Arabidopsis thaliana: one gene and its partner. The protein of the gene in region 1 interacts with the protein of each later gene in a pairwise test. Each region holds a gene or a part of one and is shown in the gene's direction. Other genes may lie near its edges.

Region 1 (10,742 bases):
AGAACGAGCTCAAGCTGGAGGAAAAACAAAACATGCGAACCGTAAGTTACAAGCAGAAGAAAATCGATACCATTACATTGAGAGTTGTTTTTGTCCAAGACCAATCTGTTTTATGTGTTTGATGATTCAGGAATTGGAAATCGCTGCTGCTTCAGAAAAGTTGGCCGAGTGTCAAGAGACGATTCTAAACCTGGGAAAGCAGCTCAAGGCATTGACTAACTCAAAGGAAACAGCTTTACTTTCAGAAACACTCATGTACGACGTTACAGACAAATCGAACAACCTACCTGATGCACAACCTTCACATGAGACTACTAAACCAGAGAAGAGATTGACCAGCCAGAGATCATCTCTTTTGGATCAGATGAAGGCAGAAGATCACAACACCGGGGAATCCAAGGATCAGAAACCGCAAGCAGCAGATAAAAACGGAAAGGGAGGAAACAGCTCTGTTTACAATGAAACCATTGAGGCACTAGAACAGATTCTTCTCTCAGACAAAAGCAAAGGCTCCGACTCAAACTGCTTTGCCATTGTTCCTCAGAAAAAGACCGGCGGAGTTAAGAGCCTCTGGAGAAAGCTGTTGGGGAGAAATAAGAAAGGTAAGAGCAAGAAGGTCCCTAATCCATTTGCCAACTAAGAAGATGGTGGCATCTGTCATCTAGACTATAATCTAATACCTTAATCCTGTTTCTTTATATGGTCCCAAAGACCCAAACTATGCAAACTAAACTGTCATTTTCTAGATTTTTTTGGCAGTATATATATAATCTCCACGTAGAGTATTACTCTATAAGATGATCATTCTGCTTTATTCCACTTTTAGTCTCAGAAAGGATACAATCAGTAATCTTGACCCAATGAATCTTTAGCAGGGTTAATGTAAATCTTCAACGTAGACACTAAATGCATAAGATCATTTGATATAATGTCATCTCAGGTCTCAAAAGAACAAATTGTGGCCTTTAAAAGAGACTTCTCAATCTCTGTACAGAACAAACTTGGCGATGTCGTTAAGTCCAGCTTCCTTGTAGCACTGAGCAACCCGTTCCAGTGATTCGTCCCATGTCCCTTCAAGTGACGCTAGATTCAGTAAGAACGCAGCCTCGTCCAAAGATGCCTGAGAATTACAAGTTTTGTTTCAAGCCTTTGTATCCATAAGCATGATATGAGTATCTGATAATGAATACAGGCAAAGAACAAACCTGAGCCATTGGCTTTCCCCTGTCTATATCCCGTTGTTTTCCTTCTCCTGTAACTCTCTCCTTATACTGCGCAATTTGCTCTTCTCCCCACTCTGCTATTTGAGCAATTTCCTGGGAACCCGTTTCATATGTTCAACACTTTTTTCCCTTCTCTTTTCGATTACCAAAATTGCTTGTCGATAGTCAAGGAATTGTACCTCATATCTGCATCCTAAGGTCCACCACGAAGATTTCAAAGCACCCCTAGCTGCGTCTTTCGCTTCTAAGTTACGCCCAAGTCTACAAAATATATAGAGGTCTTAGAGTTTTCTAGAAAGGACGTAAGCATTTACCTGGGGGTCGTTCACAAGGGAGAAAGAGGGATGATGAGAAAGGATCATACGAACTTCAGTAAAACTTTTGCGTTGAAAGCGAATGGCCGGGCAAATCCGGGAAAGTTCCCTCTCTTTGTATAAAACTCGGTAGCCACCAAAGCTGAAACCTTGTATTAGCACGTGAAGATAGTTTAAAAAGAGAAAACACGTCAACTACAACAGGATAGATATAATTACTAGCCTTACATGGTCTCCATTCTCGATATGCCGAATAACTTTTCGTTCAAGAGAATCTGGAAACAATCCAACCTGAATTACAAAGCTAATAATCATATCCCAGTATCCATGTGCAGAAAAGATTCTGATATTAACAGGCTCAATATATGTACCTTTCTTAAAAGATAGGCATCTAAATCCATCAGTCTTGAACTGGCAAAGTCACCCTTACTGTAAAGTTTCTTCCCAGCTTCACCAGCAGCATTGAAGATTTCTTGGCTGCATTCTTCGGGTTTGGAAACATCTTCTTCCACCAATATTCTGTGAATGAACTGATCAACCTGAATGTTGGCCAATGAAGTCAGATATGAGAATGAACACTCAACAAAAATAACCCTAAATTAACGCATCAGTAATGCTATAAAAAGACTCATTACATTATTAGCTAGAAACCAAACCCCATGTTTCTGAACTTCCACCACAGGCATCTCCATACTGCAAACACCACAAACAATGATAAGCTACAAAAGAAGAGAAACATGACGATATTAAAAAAGCAAGGAGGATCTAACCTAGAAGGAGCTGTTGGCCACCGTAATAGAGCAATTGAAGAACCTGAAAAAGGAAAGTCATACAAACTTAATATGAAAGTGTTACAACCTCAGATAAGAACTTATGTACAAGTCCAGAATCATACCCGGGCTCATTTTCACCAACGGAATAGTAAGAGGTAACAAGCCTTGCTTGGCACCAGGAGAAACTATGGATTTACCTGATCCAATGTCATTACCACAAGCAAAAGTCACCATTCCGCAAGTTAACAAACAAAAACTTCGAAAATACGATCAGCAAGTCAGTGTAAGATTGATTTACCTCTAGCTGTGAATATATTCAGCAGCTGCATCAGATGCTTAGGAGGCTGAGCTTTTGCTATATCCTTAATGAAACATTCATGTTCTGCACATAATCAATCGTTAACTTCGATTCACTGATTGTTCAAATTCGGCACCGTAAGAATCATAAACCAATCTCAAGCCATCGCACAGCTTCCAGAAGTTGCAAATGAAATAGCGAAGATGTGAATCCCTCTCACCAGATAGTGAAGAAGAAGAGCAAAAGGATCTGGCGAAGTTTCTGCTGCCATGGAGAAGTATCAGTCTACGTTTCCGTCCGAAAACCGCCGCGCCGCGATGCATCTCAGAGTTTTCCGATCGCCGTACTGTTTCTCGTCCGATGAGATTACAGAGAGACTTCGAAAAGCTGTTGCTGAAAAAAAAAACAAAAAATAAAGCCCAAACAAATAGGGTTTAAGAGCCCATTAAATCAGAGCCCAGCAACGTTCGTGTTTGTTTTGTTCAGTTGATATAGAACCAGTCTCGAACTCTAGTAGATTCGTTGTCTCGAGCTACGTGATATTCCGGTAAACCGTCGCCGGAGATGTACAGTAGATAATTCAAATCGAGCTGCCACGTCGCTATTTTCCCACCAACTTTTTTTTTTTTAAATAATTGGAAAAAGTTTCTAATTTACACGCTTCCCAATTCGTAAACAATGTTCTTTAAAAGTAAAACGAAATTTTTTTTGGATTTGAAGATAAAAGATCCAAAATAAAAACAAAATTGAAGATAAATTTTTAGGGTTTATAACGACCCGCCAAATTCCTTCTCTCCTCCAACATTTCAGATTTCGCGACCCGGATCTTAACCCGGACCCGCATTTGTTTCGGTTCCGATCTGGTTTCTTGACAATGGCGTCAGAAGCTTCGCCTTCTTCTTCGGCCACCAGATCGGAGCCACCCAAAGACTCTCCGGTGCGTCAATCGTTTTTTTTTTTTTTCTTACTTTCTAAAAATGGAACTTTTTTCTTTGTGCTATTGAGGCATTGACTTTGATTTGCTTTAGTTTGAGTGAAGAGAACGAAACTCGATGGCTTGTTTGAGCTTCTCTATATGCTCGTTTTTAGATCTAGAGATTGCTGGATTGTGAGATATGAAGTTGTTTTTGGGTTCGTTTAGGAACCATTTTTGCTGCAATTGATAGTTTCTCTCATTGAACACTGTGTAAAGGAACCTCATTTTGATGTTTCAGGCGGAGGAGAGAGGTCCAGCTTCTAAGGAAGTATCAGAAGTAATAGAATCGCTAAAGAAGAAGCTTGCAGCTGATAGGTGTATATCAATAAAGGTTGCTATTTTTGTTTAGTTTTTTTTTTGTATGTTTTATGTGTTTCTGAATCTGATTGTTAGAAATTGATGTGTTTGTAACCAGAAAAGGATTGATGAAAACAAGAAGAATTTGTTTGCTATTACTCAAAGTTTTATGAGGTCTTCTATGGAACGAGGAGGTAGCTGTAAAGATGGCAGTGATCTTTTAGTTAAGAGGCAAAGAGATTCGCCAGGTATGAAAAGCGGAATCGATGAAAGTAATAACAACAGATATGTAGAAGATGGACCTGCCAGTTCAGGAATGGTTCAAGGATCTAGTGTCCCTGTCAAAATTTCCTTACGTCCTATCAAAATGCCTGATATCAAACGTTTGTCACCTTATACCACATGGGTTTTTCTGGACAGGTATGTTGACATTAATGTCGCAAGAGTACTTGAAAATATTCAAGTTGAAATGTAAGCCCCTCGCATAGTATCTTAACGTTATAATCACTCTTGAAATGATGCAGAAATCAAAGAATGACTGAAGACCAGTCTGTAGTGGGTCGAAGGAGAATTTATTATGATCAAACTGGCGGGGAAGCGCTTATCTGCAGTGATAGTGAAGAGGAGGCCATTGACGACGAAGAAGAAAAAAGAGATTTTTTGGAGCCTGAAGATTATATTATTCGGTTAGTATTAAATGGCAGGAGTTTAATCATTCTTGCATTTTGGTCTCTTAGTGTGAATCTCTTGTCTGCTATGTCAACTGTTATGCTGGTTTGTTCTCACTTATATTGTTGGATTAAATTTCCCTTCGTTTCTTCAGCATGACCCTTGAGCAACTAGGTCTTTCAGACTCAGTCCTGGCGGAACTAGCAAGTTTCTTGTCTAGAAGTACTAGTGAAATCAAGGTATCAACAACTTTTTTCTCTGCCTATTGCTTGTGTGAACTATCATGTGCTATTTTCTTTAGAATCAAGCACTTCAGTTGTAGGATTTCAAAACAGAGTGAGGGATGCATTGTTTAAGGAAATCCAATTAGTATTGTTCCAGCCCTTTCCCAATTGGCTTTTTGCAGAGATATGAACACCGACCATCTTATACAGGCAAGACATGGAGTGCTTATGAAGGAAAAAGAAGTATCCGAGAGTGGCGATAATCAAGCAGAGAGCTCCCTTCTCAACAAAGATATGGAAGGAGCATTAGATTCTTTCGATAACCTGTTCTGCCGTAGATGCCTTGTTAGTCCATTTGATTTTCTCAGGCTAATGTTTCATGGGTTATTGCTTAATGATCGAGCAAACATTGGTCTCTTTTTAACTTTTGTATGCATCTATGCAGGTATTTGATTGCCGGCTTCATGGGTGTTCACAGGATCTCATTTTTCCGGTGAGTTTAGTGCCAACCGAAAAAATCTTACTATAACTTTAGTGTTACTTATCTAATTTTATGGATTTTTAGGCTGAGAAACCAGCTCCATGGTGTCCTCCTGTAGATGAAAATTTAACCTGTGGTGCAAACTGCTATAAAACGGTAAATTTGTTATTTTCTCGTTGCTAAGCTCATCTCCTAGAAAGACTGGTTTAACAAAAAGCGTTGTTTTCAATTTATCAGCTTCTCAAGTCTGGAAGATTTCCGGGATATGGCACCATTGAAGGTAAAACTGGCACTTCATCAGATGGTGCAGGTACTAAAACCACACCCACGAAGTTCTCCAGCAAACTTAATGGGAGAAAACCAAAGACCTTCCCAAGTGAAAGTGCATCGTCTAATGAAAAGTGCGCACTAGAAACAAGTGACTCAGAGAATGGACTACAGCAGGATACCAATTCCGATAAAGTTTCATCATCGCCAAAGGTGAAAGGTAGTGGGAGACGAGTAGGTCGTAAGAGGAACAAAAACCGAGTTGCTGAGCGAGTTCCTCGTAAGACTCAGAAGAGGCAGAAGAAGACAGAAGCCTCGGATAGTGATTCCATCGCCAGTGGAAGTTGTTCACCCAGCGATGCAAAACATAAAGATAATGAAGATGCTACTTCCTCTTCTCAGAAGCATGTAAAATCTGGGAACTCCGGGAAGTCAAGGAAGAATGGCACTCCTGCCGAAGTCTCCAATAATTCTGTGAAGGATGACGTTCCTGTTTGCCAGTCAAATGAGGTTGCGTCAGAGCTTGATGCGCCGGGTAGTGATGAAAGTCTAAGGAAAGAAGAGTTTATGGGTGAAACTGTATCTCGAGGAAGATTGGCTACAAATAAGTTGTGGAGACCACTTGAGAAAAGCCTTTTTGATAAAGGTGTTGAGATTTTTGGAATGAATAGGTGGGTAATTTTGATGTATTTAGCTACTGCTAAATTATCATTCTGCTTCAGGTTTTTCAATTTGTGGAATATAGTCATATGGATTCTTTGTTTCTTTGCAGCTGCTTGATTGCTAGAAATCTTTTGAGTGGTTTCAAATCATGTTGGGAGGTCTTCCAATACATGACGTGCTCGGAAAATAAAGCTTCCTTCTTTGGAGGTGATGGATTGAATCCTGATGGCTCTTCCAAGTTCGATATCAATGGAAATATGGTATATTAACACTAAACCTTTTTGACTTTGTTTACAAATTCCTGATAAAATCGATTTATTTCTCTTCGGATTTAATGCTTTAGTTTCTGGACTAACCAGGTTAATAACCAAGTGAGGAGAAGGTCAAGATTTCTACGTAGGAGAGGCAAAGTGCGGCGCTTGAAGTATACCTGGAAGTCTGCTGCATATCATTCAATTAGGAAAAGAATTACTGAGAAGAAAGACCAGCCCTGCCGTCAGTTTAATCCATGTAACTGCAAAATTGCTTGTGGGAAGGAATGTCCTTGTTTGCTAAACGGGACTTGCTGCGAGAAGTACTGCGGGTAATGTAATCTATGATTATCCACATCTGTATTTCTTAGCTTTGAATCTCATTACCAACAAACTATATTTTCTGTGTAGTTGCCCAAAGAGCTGCAAGAATAGGTTTAGAGGTTGTCATTGTGCCAAAAGTCAGTGTCGAAGCCGCCAGTGTCCATGCTTTGCTGCAGATCGGGAATGTGACCCAGATGTTTGTAGAAACTGCTGGGTCATGTAAGTCTTATTGGGGATGCAAATCCATCCTAATTGGTTTCTTAGAAAATGCTCAAGAAATGCAACTTTTTTTTTAGTAGTTCCAGATGCACTTATACTGTGTCTGAATGAATTTGAATGTGTAGTGGTGGGGATGGTTCGCTTGGGGTCCCAAGCCAAAGAGGCGATAATTATGAGTGCAGGAATATGAAATTGCTCCTGAAACAACAACAAAGGGTAAATACTTAGCCTTGTTAACTAAATATCTATGATCTGCAATCAAATGATTAAACATGAAATGGCTAAATTTCCTCCTCTTTTTTATGTTAATTTCAGGTTTTACTTGGAATATCTGATGTTTCTGGTTGGGGAGCTTTCTTAAAGGTATATTAGGTTCAAAATTTGTTAAACTGATAAGTCCTTCAAAGATTAATCTATGTTTAGAGTATGAACTTGCCTTAAGAACAATTATTTTTCCTTCTTACAGAACAGTGTAAGTAAGCATGAATACCTTGGGGAATACACAGGAGAGCTGATCTCACATAAAGAGGCAGATAAACGCGGGAAGATATACGATCGCGAGAACTGCTCTTTTCTCTTCAATCTAAACGATCAGGCACGTCTCAGCAGCTTTGAAATGTCCCAACTCTCTTTCTCTCTAGTCTCTAGGTTGTCTTCAAATTTTAAAATGTTTTTGGATTGTGCTGCAGTTTGTGCTAGATGCTTACAGGAAAGGAGATAAACTGAAATTCGCCAACCATTCTCCTGAACCTAACTGTTACGCAAAGGTAAAAATGTGAAAAGTGCAAGTTAAAGATACGGTTTTCGCATGATGGGTATGTTCTGTTTTTCCTCAAAATCTTTGTATCTGTTCAAGGTCATCATGGTTGCTGGAGATCACAGGGTGGGGATCTTCGCAAAAGAGAGGATACTGGCTGGAGAAGAACTATTTTACGATTACCGGTATGAGCCAGATCGAGCTCCAGCTTGGGCCAAAAAACCTGAAGCTCCTGGTTCTAAGAAAGACGAAAATGTTACACCTTCTGTTGGTAGACCCAAGAAGCTTGCTTAGCAACAAAAGAAACAACCATTTTTTTGTCAATTCTTTGGTTACAGGTGGAAGAACGCTTTAATCCTCATTACTCTCCACACGGAAGAACACATTGAAACAAATTCATACATTTTGCTGAGTCTAAAGAAAAATTGTATTCGTTGGATTAAAATTTCCTTTTTTCGTTTTACATTTCTGGATTATCATTTTATTGTACTGAGACTCGGGTTAAAGTTTTTAAATTACAGATGAGAAACTTGGTGAGCTTTGGAGCTGACATCAATGTGGTATTCCTCACACATCACAATCTATATAAATTAAATTAGGCGTCAGTGTACATTTGGTGATCAGAAAGTAACAAAACCAAATCAGAAAACGAACATGAGCAGCCAAATTAAAATGTACATTGACGCATAAACCTAAGAATTAAGATATACAAGAATGTTTGCGATAACCAAGATATAAATGCATCTATTCTATTTTCTCTTTGAAGGGTCCATCTTCATGCATCAGTCTGATGACATAATCCATCTGCGATGCACAAAGTTACATTGTTTAAGTCGATGATCCAATTACATAGCTATGTTTATATACTCTTTTAACACCATAACTTCAAAACATACCTGATTTGATTCGCGCACTAAAAACTCGTCTATGGCTTGCCTGAAACCTTCATCGAATATGTAATGGCAACTATATGTTTTAACGGGAAGGTAGCCTCGCTGAATCTTATGCTCACCCTGCGCTCCAGCTTCTACCGTTTTCAGATTAAGCTCTATCGCTGCTTCAATTGCCTATGAATCCCATTATCAGTTTGTGAGTTTTAATCAAGTATGTCTCGGCGAAAACTCTTGAGACTTTGAAACAACAAGACCAACCTGGTAATAGCATGCTTCAAAATGGAGACTAGGATAATAGGAGTCGGGACGACATCCCCATAGTCTCCCAAATAGAGTATCTCCTCCAATGAGATTCAATGCTCCTGCAACAGGTTCCTCGTTTTCTTCAGCTAAAACAAGCAATACCTTGTCTCCCAACTTCGATGCCATGTCGTGAAAGAAATCCCTTGTGAGATAAGGTGTGCCCCATCTAAAATTAGCCGGAAATCGTTAAGCATGTGAAAGGACAAACACAGGTAATGCATACACTTGACGATGACAGGTAATTGAATGTAAGTATGTTTATTATGCACAAAGACACATAATGTGTACTAATGATAAGAAAAACAAAAATGTCTCAAAGATAAAGACTAAACTTGTTATCAGTTGTGTTCCTGTAGAAATCATAGAAGGAATCCCAGTGCCTAGCCTGCAAAAACATTAGGCACAAACGATGAATCAAATTTTTAAGACACATATTAATATAAAAGCCCCATAATGTCCTTTATAGCATGTGCCATCAGTTCTAACCTCTGGTAGCAGATTGATATCCCATGGTTGATTATTTATAGCCATTAAAATGAAAAGATACCGCCAGGCATAATCAATTACAACAAATTCGTCTCGTGGCAGTTCAGTTACATACCTTTATATCATCTCCTTGTAGCCGTCTCATTTTCAAATTCTGGGTACCAATCTACTAGAGAAAAGGAGCATTAGAAGTCAGCAGCGTGCTTGAAAAACGCCACAAGGAACGGATAACGAAATAAGGCCACAATTCAAAAGTTGTATGGGAAGAAAAAAAGAGTAACCATTCCATTTTACTATTCACATGAGCAAAGAAACTTAAGAGACAAGAATAAATTGCACAATGAGGATGATATGAAAAGAGGAAACTAAACAAACCTTTTTGCGTTCCTGTCGGATATTTTTCCTTTTGCTTTGCTTCATGTCCATCAAGAACTCGTCAAAACTGAAGTATTAGAGATAAAAAAAAAAATGAACAAAATATAATAGCAACTACTTCCAATCCAGTCATTGTTAAGAACTAATATACTGGCAACTAACTTCAATTACTTTTTATAATCACGATTTTTCCAGTGGTACTGCATTCCAATCCTTTGTGAGAAGCCTTTCTCTTTCAATTTGTCCCACTCAGCTCCAGACGGAAATGTAATGTGCAAAGATGAAACTTGTAACTGCCAAAGCCCACAGAATACAACTAGTCTGTCAGCAGTCAGCAGATAGCATATGTTGAAAGCAGAACTCAACACAAGAGAACCATTACAGCTTCAAGAAAGTAAAATGTGAGATTGTTCCTATAGTAATAAGGATAGCTAATAAATAGTAGAACCTTAGTTCTGTATACCATGAGATCACAAGTTTAATCCTGTTCCAAGTCTTGTTTTTATCTATAACACAGATAGATTTCATATAGAGATCATACCTTTGATGCCAATTCCGTCATGGCAGAAACAATAGCATCAAAAACTTGCTCTTTGCAAGGATTATCACGGATAAGAATCCTAGGACCAGTAACTGGGGTGAAAGGAACACAACACTGAAGTTTAGGATAATATCTTCCGCCAAAACTTCGGTATGCATCAGCCCAAGAATGATCAAAAACAAATTCGCCATAAGAATGGCTTTTGAGATAAAGTGGAACAACACCCAAAATACTCTCACATTCATCCTTTGCAACAATGTGTAATGGCATCCAACCTGTTTCCTAATAACATTTTGCAGATAGAAATTCCCATAAGAAAGACAAACATCTATGCTTGCTTCTTTCGGTTGAAGAATAAAGGAAATTGCTTCACTAACCCGAACGGCACAACCAGTATCTTCTAAACTG
Region 2 (5,053 bases), on another chromosome or scaffold:
ACGTGGCGATGTACACTGGCTATAATCAGCTTGGATACGAGGTGGCATTGACTGGTCAACAAGTTCAGTTACATCCATCGTGTTCATTGCTAGCATTTGGCCAGAAGCCAAGCTGGGTTGTTTTCGGTGAACTTCTATCTATTGTGGACCAGTACTTGGTATGTGTAACTGCGTGTGATTTTGAAGCTTTGTATATGCTTGATCCACCACCACCTTTTGACGTATCCCAGATGGATGAGCGGAGGCTCCGAATTAAAAAAGTGGTTGGTTGTAGCAGCACTGTGCTAAAACGATTCTGTGGGAAATCTAATCGTAGTCTGCTTTCAATTGTTTCTCGTGCTAGGTCTCTTTGTTCGGATGAAAGGATTGGTATTCAAGTCGATGTTGATCAGAATGAGATTCGACTGTATGCGCCTCCCCTCGACATGGAAAAAGTGTCAGCCCTTGTGAACGATGCATTGGAATGTGAAAAGAAATGGATGCATAATGAATGTTTGGAGAAGTATCTATATCATGGTCGGGGACAAGTACCTATTGCACTGTTTGGATCTGGTGCTCAGATAAAGCATCTTGAAGTTGATCAGAGATTTCTGACAGTCGATGTACTTTATTATGGCGATGATGTTGTTGATGACAGAGAGCTTCTGACGTTTCTGGAGAAGAAGATTGATGGGTCTATTTGCTCTATATACAAGTTTGCTGCGAACAAGCAAGACTGTGATGAGAAGGAGAAGTGGGGTAGAATAACCTTTCTCACTCCAGAATCTGCTATGAAGGCAACAGAAATTCAGAAATTTTATTTCAAAGGATCAGTGCTCAAATTATTTCCATCACTGTCAACTGGTGGAGGAATTTTCAAGATGCCTTATTTCTCTTCCGTGACAGCTAAGATTCGTTGGCCGAGAAGGGAAAGCAGTGGTAGAGGATGTCTTAAGTGCCCTTCCGGAGATATTCACCGTATACTTGGTGATATATCCAGCCTTGAGATAGGAACAAATTATGTCCATATTCAGAGAGATCAACAGTCAAATGATTCTATCTTGATAAGTGGACTTGGAGATCTTTCGGAAGCAGAAGTTTTAGATGTTTTGGAATTCAGAACGCAGAGAAGAGATCTGAATTTTTTCATATTCAGAAAAAAATACAGTGTGCAGTGCCCATCTCCTACTGCTTGCGAAGAAGAGCTTCATAAGAGAATATTTGCGCGCATGTCAGCAAAGAATCCAGAGCCAAACTGTGTCCAAGTTCAAGTTTTTGAACCAAAAGAAGACAATTACTTCATGCGAGCGTTAATTAAGTTTGACGGGAGATTACATTTCGAAGCTGCAAAAGCTTTGCAAGAGTTAAATGGGGAGGTGCTACCTGGATGTCTTCCATGGCAGAAGATAAAGTGCGAACAATTGTTTCAGAGCTCCATAATCTGCTCCGCTTCTATCTACAACACTGTCAAAAGACAATTGAACGTTTTATTAGCAAGGTTTGAGAGACAAAAAGGTAAAATTTCTACACAACATTTGATCTTTTGCTCTTTAATTTTCTGTCAACAAATAACCTTACTGAATGTCTACTTCTGACTCCGATATTGATTAAGAACAATCGTGTAGGGTAAGGGATATTTGAAGGATGCATAAGCTTAGGTGTCCTATTTTTCCTGTGAACTTGTCCAAATTTTGATGTGCATTAACGTTTGTTTATATTTTTGTAGGGGGTGAATGCTGTCTGGAACCAACTCATAACGGGGCTTATCGTGTTAAAATTACTGCTTATGCAACAAGACCCGTTGCGGAGATGCGGAGAGAACTTGAAGAACTCTTAAGAGGAAGACCCATAAACCATCCAGGCTTCACACGTAGAGTCCTGCAGCATCTTATGTCCAGAGATGGTATTAATCTGATGCGGAAGATCCAGCAGGAGACAGAAACTTACATTCTATTAGATAGGCACAATCTCACAGTACGCATTTGTGGAACAAGTGAGAAAATTGCCAAGGCAGAACAAGAACTGATTCAGGCACTTATGGATTATCATGAGAGCAAGCAACTTGAAATCCACCTCCGAGGTCCTGAGATCCGTCCTGACCTCATGAAGGAAGTTGTGAAGCGGTTTGGTCCGGAGCTCCAAGGTATCAAAGAAAAGGTGCATGGTGTGGATCTCAAGCTCAACACCCGGTACCATGTTATTCAGGTTCATGGGAGCAAAGAAATGAGGCAGGAAGTACAAAAGATGGTCAATGAACTTGCACGAGAAAAGAGTGCACTGGGTGAAAAACCAGATGAGATTGAAGTTGAATGCCCCATTTGCTTGTCTGAAGTTGATGATGGCTACTCTCTTGAAGGATGTTCACACCTCTTCTGCAAAGCTTGTTTGTTGGAGCAATTTGAGGCATCGATGAGAAACTTTGACGCATTCCCAATACTTTGTTCTCACATAGACTGTGGAGCTCCAATAGTACTCGCTGATATGAGAGCCCTCTTATCACAAGAGAAGCTCGATGAACTCTTCAGCGCATCCTTGTCCTCTTTTGTAACATCCAGTGATGGAAAGTTCAGGTTTTGCTCCACACCTGATTGCCCTTCCGTCTACCGTGTAGCTGGACCTCAAGAATCTGGTGAGCCATTCATCTGTGGAGCATGTCACTCAGAAATATGCACAAGGTGTCACCTCGAGTATCACCCGTTAATCACTTGTGAAAGGTACAAAAAGTTCAAGGAAAATCCGGACTTGTCGCTAAAGGACTGGGCAAAAGGGAAGAACGTAAAGGAGTGTCCGATTTGCAAGTCGACGATAGAGAAGACTGATGGGTGTAACCATATGAAGTGCCGGTGTGGAAAGCACATTTGTTGGACCTGCTTAGACGTCTTCACTCAAGAAGAACCTTGTTATGCCCATTTAAGGACAATTCATGGTGGAATCGGATTAGTCGAGTAAGGTGTCCCAGAGGACCCCGTTGCCCAGCCCGACTAGACCGGACCTATGTATCTATATTCTGTAACATCTGGTATGCTTAATGTGTACATATGTGAAGATAGTGTAGTTCGGTAGTTATACCTTCTTTAACCAACTGAAAAAACCGATCATAATCTAAACCGGATGCCAAATAAATTAAGATTGTTGTAAATGAAAGACTTACTTGACTCGCTACATGACTGATTACGCGTAAATGTCTACAGAGAGTTTACTAAGTTGAAAGGAAACTACTTCCTAACATACAGAGACATCGCCTTTAATGGCGTTATCACTTTCAGGAAATTTCCACCCACTTTCCAACCCTTAAAAAGGACAAATCCTCTCTAATTCCTAGTCTTGTAGATTGTGATGTGTGTGGCTGTGTACCCACTTATTTCCTCACGAAGATTTTTTGGGTCATGACTCTTGTCTAGATTCTAACCCATTTTGTGGGTTTTAGTGTCCTATTTCTTTTTGCTTTCATCAGAAGCAAAAACTTGGAATTGTGTGTCATACCCATTTTCCCCTGTTCTTGTTCTGTTTTCTACTAGTTGTGTCTGAAAGTAAAGTCCTCTGTTTTTGCTCTGTTTATGTCGTCTCTGAACTCCTACAATGGCGTTTAATCACAGAAAAATGCTTCTTTCATGTCTACAGTTTAAAGATTTACGCTTTTGTTTCCGGCAATACCCTCCCCCGCCACCACCACCACCGCCACCGAGGGAGCTCTCTCTCCTACTCCCCACCTCGATCTGCGTCGTCGGCTCAATCATACTCTTTCTATTTCTAGTCTTCTTCCTCTACCTCCACATCACGCAACAACGGCGGATTTCAGCCGCCAGCGTAACTCCCGGTGACACAAACCAACAGGAAGATGAGGACGAAACAGAGGAGAGAGATTTCTCCGACTTTCATCACGTTTGGCAAATCCCAACCGTCGGTCTCCACCGTTCCGCGATCAACTCGATCACAGTCGTTGGATTCAAAAAGGGAGAAGGGATAATCGACGGCACAGAATGCTCTGTCTGCTTAAACGAGTTTGAAGAAGACGAGTCGCTGAGACTGTTACCAAAGTGTAGCCATGCCTTTCATCTAAATTGCATCGACACTTGGTTGCTCTCTCACAAGAACTGTCCTTTATGTCGTGCCCCTGTACTTCTTATCACTGAACCACCTCATCAAGAAACAGAGACGAATCATCAACCAGATTCTGAATCGAGCAATGACCTCCGTGGAAGACAAGACAGTTCCAGATCTAGAAGAAACCATAACATTTTTCTTCCAAGGGCACAAAGTGATTTGGCAAACTACTGTGGCTCAGGAAGAGTAGAAAACGTGAGAAGATCGTTTTCAATTGGAGGAAGCTTATCACTTTGCGATGGTATTAACAATGCTACTAGAAGTGGAAGACAGTTCTATACCAGCTTCAGTGCTAACTTGTTCTCATCATCAAGAAGAGTAAGGAACGAACAACCGATTCCACAAAACCAAATGCCATCCGTAACTGGTAACACCAGTTAATTGGTGTAACTACATTGAAGCTTAATGTAATATCTAGTGTGTTATATACAGTATCTGAAATAAATCGAAACTTTCAATGTTTCAATATTATATGATCAACGAGCAGCAAAACCAAAGAAATTAAGGAAAATAAGTTCTATTAAACAGGAGAGAGTTTCGTTGGGGTATTTCATCGAACACTTCAAGGCTAACTAAACCAAAGTACCTAACAACTGAAAATTAAAACGAGCCAAAGCTCAACACTTACAAGAACCCATTACTACTAAAACGCAAATCAAAATCCAGAAATAGAGTTCCATTGACGAACTAAATCAAAAGATATAAACCATAACAACAGTCTTCAAGCTCTTTCTCCTCTGATTCTCCTCGCGAGCTGGATATCCTTAGGCATGATGGTGACCCTCTTAGCGTGAATGGCGCAAAGATTAGTGTCTTCAAACAAACCAACAAGGTAAGCCTCAGCAGCCTCTTGTAAAGCAGCAACAGCACTGCTCTGAAACCTCAGATCCGTCTTGAAATCCTGAGCTATCTCACGAACCAGACGCTGGAAAGGAAGCTTACGGATCAGAAGCTCAGTGCTCTTCTGATA

The links.
Region 2: the proteins of CLF (region 1) and RING1 interact in a two-hybrid assay, tested with the Arabidopsis thaliana proteins (one study listed by BioGRID).

What each region holds. Positions count from the first base shown.
Region 1 is NC_003071.7:9,952,088-9,962,829, forward strand, and holds CLF (SET domain-containing protein), read left to right. Parts: upstream 1-3,004; 5' UTR 3,005-3,482; coding exon 3,483-3,545; intron 3,546-3,822; coding exon 3,823-3,915; intron 3,916-3,999; coding exon 4,000-4,301; intron 4,302-4,405; coding exon 4,406-4,567; intron 4,568-4,704; coding exon 4,705-4,789; intron 4,790-4,926; exon of another isoform or gene 4,927-4,960; coding exon of another isoform or gene 4,961-4,984; coding exon 4,985-5,119; intron 5,120-5,219; coding exon 5,220-5,267; intron 5,268-5,339; coding exon 5,340-5,411; intron 5,412-5,492; coding exon 5,493-6,193; intron 6,194-6,294; coding exon 6,295-6,445; intron 6,446-6,544; coding exon 6,545-6,768; intron 6,769-6,847; coding exon 6,848-6,979; intron 6,980-7,104; coding exon 7,105-7,195; intron 7,196-7,294; coding exon 7,295-7,342; intron 7,343-7,445; coding exon 7,446-7,574; intron 7,575-7,668; coding exon 7,669-7,746; intron 7,747-7,835; coding exon 7,836-8,030; 3' UTR 8,031-8,299; downstream 8,300-10,742. Other genes in the region: AT2G23360 (filament-like protein (DUF869)), read left to right, coding at 1-41, 131-640; AT2G23370 (cyclin delta-3), read right to left, coding at 980-1,120, 1,206-1,316, 1,403-1,484, 1,592-1,686, 1,766-1,828, 1,909-2,076, 2,173-2,230, 2,308-2,350 and 3 more; AT2G23390 (acyl-CoA), read right to left, coding at 8,481-8,540, 8,633-8,803, 8,888-9,098, 9,265-9,317, 9,534-9,584, 9,794-9,860, 9,965-10,086, 10,335-10,616 and 1 more. UniProt on the Arabidopsis thaliana protein: Polycomb group (PcG) protein. Catalytic subunit of some PcG multiprotein complex, which methylates 'Lys-27' of histone H3, leading to transcriptional repression of the affected target genes, mainly abscisic acid (ABA) responsive elements.
Region 2 is NC_003076.8:3,264,261-3,269,313, forward strand, and holds RING1 (RING/U-box superfamily protein), read left to right. Parts: upstream 1-3,374; 5' UTR 3,375-3,558; coding exon 3,559-4,464; 3' UTR 4,465-4,553; downstream 4,554-5,053. Other genes in the region: AT5G10370 (helicase domain-containing protein / IBR domain-containing protein / zinc finger protein-like protein), read left to right, coding at 1-1,494, 1,706-2,928; AT5G10390 (Histone superfamily protein), read right to left, coding at 4,805-5,053.